2 linked regions of the Oreochromis niloticus genome follow. The protein of the gene in region 2 purifies or fractionates together with the protein of the main gene of each other region. This does not show direct contact. Links are inferred from orthologs where the notes say so. Each region holds a gene or a part of one and is shown on either strand. Other genes may lie near its edges.

What was found.
Region 1: the proteins of nod1 (region 2) and ripk2 purify together in Homo sapiens (affinity purification with western blotting; 4 studies listed by BioGRID and IntAct, with this or other methods). This does not show direct contact. The link is inferred for Oreochromis niloticus from reciprocal best matches to the Homo sapiens genes NOD1 and RIPK2.

What each region holds. Positions count from the first base shown.
Region 1 is NC_031982.2:10,260,204-10,264,125, forward strand, and holds the start of ripk2 (receptor-interacting serine/threonine-protein kinase 2), read right to left. Parts: upstream 2,763-3,922; 5' UTR 2,431-2,762; coding exon 2,237-2,430; intron 2,095-2,236; coding exon of another isoform or gene 2,033-2,094; exon of another isoform or gene 1,427-2,032; intron 1,418-1,426; coding exon 1,264-1,417; intron 710-1,263; coding exon 554-709; intron 1-553. Other genes in the region: sorting nexin-16, read left to right, coding at 2,033-2,094.
Region 2 is NC_031976.2:2,124,810-2,128,731, reverse strand, and holds the start of nod1 (nucleotide-binding oligomerization domain-containing protein 1), read right to left. Parts: upstream 2,738-3,922; 5' UTR 2,599-2,737; exon of another isoform or gene 2,536-2,598; intron 2,524-2,535; exon of another isoform or gene 2,369-2,523; intron 2,353-2,368; exon of another isoform or gene 2,030-2,352; intron 772-2,029; 5' UTR 750-771; coding exon 573-749; intron 140-572; coding exon 1-139. UniProt on the Homo sapiens protein: Pattern recognition receptor (PRR) that detects bacterial peptidoglycan fragments and other danger signals and thus participates in both innate and adaptive immune responses.

The sequences.
Region 1 (3,922 bases), on a different chromosome or scaffold from region 2:
AGGTTTTTCCCCCCCCTTCTACTGTTATCTCTATCCCCTCTCACTGATACTGTATTATCTTTATGTGCTCATATTAGGCACACAGCGTTGAGTGTCAGCAGACTAGCACCACCCACCTGTTGTTTAAACCTTCTGTTTGTGAGGGGCAGCCAATCAGAAGAAAGTTTAAAGGAGAGGAGTTTGTTTTACGGTCAAAAAACTTAAATATGGAGTTGATATGAGTATAATATGTCCACTTTAATTAGGCCATGAAAGAAAAAGAAATCAGTTTGAACAACCTGGTAACAATTGGTAACAACCTTTATATATACTTTTTATGCTAATAAAAAAAATGGTACATTTCATAAAGAGTAGTAGATCAGCAGTACATAGTGGATAAGCAGCACATACCCTATGTCTCAGTTACTCTGGTAACATACACAATACATGTGACTATAACTGTGACCACCTAAGCAGCTGTAACCTTTGTTACAGCTCCAACAAACACACTGACATGGGTAAGGTGATGTAATAGATTTTCCTGTTCTGCGCGCACCTCATACTTGACGCATACCTTAACATGAAATTCACCATCCAGCAGAATGTTTTGGGTCTTTAGGTCGTGATGTACGAGGGGTGGGTTCATGTTGTGAAGGAAGTTAACCCCAAGGGCGATCTCATACAGAATCCTCAAACGCAAAGGCCAGGCAAGAACGGGGTACAGGTCCTTCTGTAAGGCAGAGATTACAAAGATGGGCTAAAGACATAATAAATGTATAAATAAAAGTGGGAAATGTGGGTTTTACTACAGTGAAAGTACAAAACAATGCAAGAGCTTGAAATAAAGACTGAAAAAATTACTACACTCAGGCCAGTGGGAATTTCCCTTGTGCATAGCTGTCTGCTTCCCTCAATGCTCGGCTTGTCTTTCCCTACTTTCTTTTAGGTTTCATCAGATACTAATTACTTCGAGCTTTCGCTTTTGTTTACAGTCTCACTGACAGGAAACAGAGTCATACACTCACATGATGAGTGATGCACAAGAGAGAAAAACAACAGACCAATGCAACTCCCTCAGCTGACCTCTTTTGGCAACAAAAATCCAAATGCAACAACTATAAAACCTTTATTTTGTTCAGTGTGTAGTCTGGGCGACTCTCACAGGTAACTATTTAAACCAGGGAAAACTGGTGCCACTCAGTGGCAATCTAAATGGTTTGTTTAAGGATGTATTGCTCAGACTAGAAGAGTTCCTAGAGATAGGAAGTGAACTTGATGAGTTACCTCGTGGAGTAACCGGTCCAGAGATCCATTGCTCATGAACTCCGTGACTATGCAAAAGATACGAGGCTCATTGCAGACCCCAAAGATCTGGATGATGTAGTTGAACCTGGCTTTGTGGAGTACCTCGGCCTCCTTCAGCAGGCAGTTCCTCTCTCTGAAACACAGCCAGACACAGAATAAATAACAAAAACAAAATAACACTGACAGCACTTTTGTGATAGTGAGGTAAAGGAATATTTCAGATAAAATCCTTTTAGACACGCAGACCAAAAATGCAGAATACAATCCTGCTGAAACTCTTGATTACACAGAGGAGTAAAGATGTTACACGCAGGAATCTGAGAAATTCTCACTTGTGAATTTGGGCAGAAATGTTTTAGATGTGTGGATCTGAGTAGAATGACCCATTACTAGGTGACCAATAAACACCAAACTGAGTCATGATGTCTGGACATTTGTCTGAAATCCAGTTGGGCTGGTTCACTGTTGTTGGGATACACTGAGTTTTGTGAAACAAGCTTAAGAATTTCACATTAAAAGGTGGACTTAATTTTATAACAGAGTGGTATATTTGCATGCCTCCAGAAATAAAGAATGAGTGTAGGATTTAAAAAAAAGAAAAATATCCCTCAGTTCAGATTTGTGCCAGTCTGAGCAAACTAGCCCTCCAGCTGTAAGTCACTGGACACGTAAGCCACAGACTCTTTAGCCTTTTTCCTGCCAGAGGAATGAAAAACCTGCTCGAGCACTCTGAACACATTTCATTGAAATGTACAGGAAGGCCTCACATTTGACTCAAATTAGGTCAAGTGCTGCAGCTGTTACTGTGGAGTAAGTACAGGCTGACTTTATTGCATCATCCTGAAACAGCACAAAGTTTTTCTGTACTAGTGCAATTCATCTATAAATGGCTCAAATGTGTCTCCGTGACCTAGACCTTGTTACGTGAAGTTGTCTGCTCGGTGCTGAGTACCTTTCTATAACTGGAGAGTCGAGCTTCAGGCACTTGACGGCCACAGTGGTCCTCCAGTCGGAGTGCTTCCCCTTGAACACGGTGCCGAAGCCCCCTCCGCTCAGGTAGTACAGGTCCGTCAGTTTATTCTGGGGGATCACCGGCAAGGTGCTGGTCAGGCTGCCGATATCCAAACAGCCCGCAGTTGGCTCCATAGCAGTTTCTGAATCCCTTACGCGAAGTCTCTGAGGATTTATCTCCCACGGGTTTGGCCAATAAAGGCAGAACTACCTCTTTTGGTATAAACGTAAAGAGGAACTGCGCTCCCATTCACATGCATGCCACAACGTAGCCGACTGCTAGCATGCTAAGCTAACATTAATGTTGCAGAGGAGAGCAGAAAAACAGAGCAGCCGATAAACAGCGAATCCGCTGACCGGCAACAGCTGTCCTTCACCCAGCGACTACAGTTAAATGCGCGCAGGACCCAAAGCGAAACAACAACAAGAAGAGCGCAGCTGAGCTCCGCGCTCATTTAAGCAGGTGCGTTTGTTGTTGCTAATGACGACACGCTTCCGGTTTTTACGAGATGCGTTCACGAGTGTAGGTTTGGAGAACTTCAGACAGTTGACCCCGTTTTCCAAGCAGCCCTCTGAGCGCATTCAGAATCCCAGTACAAATATGGATAACAGCGAGGTAAGTCTAGGAAAAACACTGAGGAGGCACGCTGTTAAAATACCATAAATCATAAATGAGCCTTTAACTCAACTTTAGTTTCAGTTTCGCTGAAACAAAGATCCGCCTCCTGCGGCATGAACCCAATTGGTAATATTGGGATTTTTAGCAGCGGGAATCCCCCCCCAAAAACAGGGGTTTTCCTACAGATGTGTCGACGCTAAAGACATGTCAAAATCCGATGTTCGTGTCACGTGATCATAAGTAGCACTTTCTCTTTTCAGTAGCAGTATAGATTTTAGTTTTCCAGTGTTATTTTAGACATCCTGATAGCAGATTTTTAGATGTATCGATAAACTTTATTATTTTTATTGATTTTTAAGGTGTTTATTCTTTGATCGCTCCAAATTTGAGTTCATGTGATAATTGGGCCTTTTGGTAAGTCACAGTTAGTGTTAATTTATTGAAATTATAGGTATTTTTTGTATTAAATTTGACGTCTAAGGAGCTTGGAAAGAAAAGCGTCTGGACTTCTTTGAGTTGCTTGAAGACGTTTCACCTCTCATCCGAGAAGCTTCTTCAGTTCTAAGGGTCAATTGGTGGGGAGTCCCAGATTTAAACCCAGTGGGAGTTTCCCCCCCAAAGAGGGACAAAGGACCCCCTGATGATCCTCTACCTAATCACATGAGCCAAGGTGTGAAAGCGGGTGGGGGTCCTAATCAGCCAGGGTTTCGGGTGAGCTCATTGTGAAACCTGGCCCCACCTTTTACAAGTGCGTTGTTGTGATTTACTGAAACAGGATGCGCCCTTTTTGTGCTGTTGGATGAGACACACCATAAAGCACATGACTCTGTGTCCCTCTGTAATCTGAAACCAAGAACAGGCTTTCAACAAATCAGGTACTATGATACTGCTTACGTGGATGTCATACAAACTGCCTTGTGTTTTTGATGAGCCAGCAAGAGTATGGAGTGCGACAATCCCTGCACAGATCAGGTGGGAAACAAAGCTTGATTCTAGAAAACCCTGTGC
Region 2 (3,922 bases):
CTTCACTTGGGTTGTAGTTGATTTCTTTCAGCCATGGCTGCAGGTCTATGTATGCATCACATACTTTATAAATTATGAAGATTAAATATTCACAGGCCTCCTCCCCTTTGCACTGGACTAGCTCCAGGATTTTGCGCACCTAAAAAAAAAAATCATGAAAGAAATTCAAACTTATATTTACATTTTTTAAATTGTGTAGTATGTATGCAATCTACTGACCTCGAAGGAGAGTTCAGAGGTCAAATGTCACATGATATTTTATACAGTACTTTCTATATATTCACAAAACACACAACACCTGTAGGAATGATAGCTGTCCACCAATAAATTACTAAGTTGACCTTGAAGACCTTGATGGACGATAGCTAACGTGTCATAGATCGTTAGTATGACCTCACCCTCCACACGGTTTTACCAACATGCAATCCAAACTGTCATGTTTACACACAGAATGATGACACGCACTCATGCAGACGCTATCACAAACATCACCTCCTCGGTGGAAGCAGGAGTGGTTTTTAAATTCAGAGATTTTTAAGCACGGTTTTTGTCTCGGATGTTCTTTTTTCTACCTGATCAGCCTTGGTGGCAGTTTGCTGAACAATCTCAACATCCTCCTGACAGAAGAAGCCACAGGTGAACAGGTTGTCCAGGATGCACTGAATGCTCCTCAGCCTGGTCACGAGCAGCTCTCTGTGGTAGGTGAGGAGGCTGGAGCACGGCACCCTGGCTTCTTTTATCTGATCCATATTTACAGGACAGCAGTCACCTCTGTGGAACAAAAGACAGAAACTACACTGTTGACAGCATTTTAACATCACATGGTAAGCTTCTTTCTACTCCTTCCTTATTCACAGGGGGTCACCTTTGTGATTTGCACATGACACAGATTTTCACACCTGATGCCCTTCCTGACACAGCTGTCCCAGATATTGGAATTTCTTGAACCCCGTCATCACCCTTCATGTTTGGAACATGTGTTAACCACCTAGCCACTGTGACGCGATTTTTGTTAAATCAAATGGACTCACACAGGTTCACTTCTTATCATTTAAAACTGATGACAATTTAGTTACAAAATTGCTCGAGTACAAACAGCAGAGGTCTCTTTCATGCTTTCAGCCCAGTGTTAAAACAGAACCTTTGTGTAAATGTAAGAACTGTTTTATTGGCTCCTTTCTTTTAAACCTGTGTTCAGAGCACTTTAACATTTCAGACTAATTGCCCTTTTCATTATCAATAAAGTCTGATGATTGATTTTTCTGTGTGTGTAAAAAGGAAATCCAAGTCAAAATCTGTCAAATTGCTTGTTTTCTTTAGTCCATATCTATCAAAATCAAGGCCTACGAAGCTGAATTTAACTCCTCGTTCTAAACAGTGGCCTGCCCAGATCTAGCTGTGGTCTCCACTCATACACACCAAACTACACCACAGAAAGGCCATTATTTTACCCAGATTACTATGAACCAGTTCATGACCTATCACAATTTTTTTATTTTTAACTGTTCAACTAACTCAAATATAAAAAAATATCATTACATCAGCAGGTAAAATTACAGGCCAATCAATAAAGTGTCTTTAAGATTGATAGCAATACCAATATTTGATTATATGTTTTTTTTAAAAAGGATATTGCAGACATTGGCTATTTTTTTCTTCCAAACACACAGATTCCTCAAACATGTGTTATGTGTAGTTATTTATTTACCGGTTTATGCTCCAGCCAACTCTGCTGGATCAGCTGGTTGTGTTTTTGTTTGTCCTGCCAAAATGTTTTTGTAACATGTATTTGTTTGTTTTTTCATAAAAATGTCACCTAAAAGAAAATTAGCTAAAAAAAAAAAACATAACAAAAAAAACATCAGCACCTGCCAATGTCAGCAGTGGCCCAATAACAAACAAGGACGCTATCATCACAGAGATACAGACACTGTAACCCATAACACAAGGAACCGTTCCCTGAATGTCCGAGGGTTCTATAGCCTTCAGGGAACGTTCCGTGAAGGTTGCCGTTTGCTGGGTAACTTACCAATTCCTTGATTTTTCGATTCTTAACACACGTAAGTAGCCTACACTCCTGACGTCGGTCTGAAACACTGAGTACTGGCAGCTGCATTTCACAAATACTGTAAACACACAAAGGCTGGCAAGTCTGACCTGCAGCTCTTCAAACGCTGTTTACAGAGTTATCACTTCCGAAGTTCGTGCTACAAATATCTTTCGCATCTTTAGTCACAAAGTAACACAACATTTGGACGTGTTTCCCCGCTTTTACTGTCTAACAAATCCGTGCCCTCGATCTTGGAATGGCTCTGTTTTGTTTACGGAAATAGAAACGTAGTGAAGAAGAGTCTGTAAAGTGACAGACCTGTCTTCCACTCAGCCGTGCTGACCCTGTTAAAGAGCACCTGAAAGCAAAGGCGCCCTAAAAGTTGCCAATAAGAAAAAATGATGTCTCCGAAACTCATTCCAGCCCACAGAAAAGTTGCCCGTACTGGACGGTATCGTGGGTACAGAACCATAAATGAATCCTACCATTGTGCTGGGTCCACACCAAAGTTACAGCCGGGTTAGAAAAGAAAACTAAAAGGAACTAACTTCGGTTAAAATGCACGACAGCCCATTAGGCTACAGTTAGTGAAGTGCATGTGCCGCCCCTTAGAAAGCATCAGCTGTAGCCACAGATGCAGGAAGTCAAAGCGCTGTGAATGGGTGCGTCCTTTTTTCACGGGGTTTCTCAACCTATGCGTGCTGCGTTCAAGGTCCCGCTAAAGATGTGGAGTCCTGCACGTTTAGTATGTCCACCCATCTCTCTCTTTTTTAAATTCTCTTATCCAATTGCTGCAGGAGAGGTGACGGGGTGGTGGTACACCTTGAACAGGTCGTGTATGTGTATCTATAAATGAATGCATAAATACATAAATACATGTGTAAATAAGCCCTTGTTTAAAATCTTTAAAATGGCATAAATGTATTAGAATTTGAATAAGAGTCAACACTAAGTCCAATGTATTGTATTGCATAGATATCAGCTGAAGTTGAAATGGGACTTCTTTTATAATAGACCTGCTAATTTGATTAACATTGTCACCGTCCTCTCAGGCGCGTGGTTGGCCCTGAGTGTTCTCCTCTCTGCCTTCTCGGGTTTTTCAGTAAAAAGAAATGTTTAGTAAAGGAAAAGTGTGTTCAGACATCTGCCTATCACAGCGAAGTCACATCGGAAACACCAAGCTACCCACCACAGCGGGTCACTCTGATAAAGCGTCCCCATGTAGCCGCCGTTACTCATCGTCACCTGCGCGCACAGTCTGAGAGGAGGAAAACACACCCGGACTGTGAGCTCTATCACCTTACCCCTGCCTCCATCACCTCCATCATACTTTTAACATATAAAGGTGGCTGGTGGAAGAGAGAGCAGTGTGTCAGGATTAATGTGATCAATTATATGTGATCATTCTGAACTGTGATTCTGTGATTTTTATTTTACTCAATATTTACCAATACCTGCTGTTCCAGTGAAGACGTCTTTTCCAAGTAAAAACATTATGACTGCAGCATCTTCATCACCTGTTGGGGTCCAGGTACATGTGGATTCCTTTATGGAAGGCAAAACGTGAAAATAAGGTGAAAGACGAGGCTGATAGTAACCAAGATGACAAAAGACAAAGAAATCTGAGATGTCAGGTTAGAGATGTAGAACCACTTCGCATTCTGGACCCAGATAAAGGTAATTTTGTTAAGTACTATGAAATGTTCAGATACAGAGGTCACACATGTATAGTTATGGAAATGTTAAAAACCACAGCAGAAAAGCAAAGAAACTCAAAGACTACACACCACATTAAGAACACAGCAAGGGGAAATCTGAACAAGTGCAGTCCTGGCGATGAACCAAAACTGTCTAAGTCAAACGGTATGAATC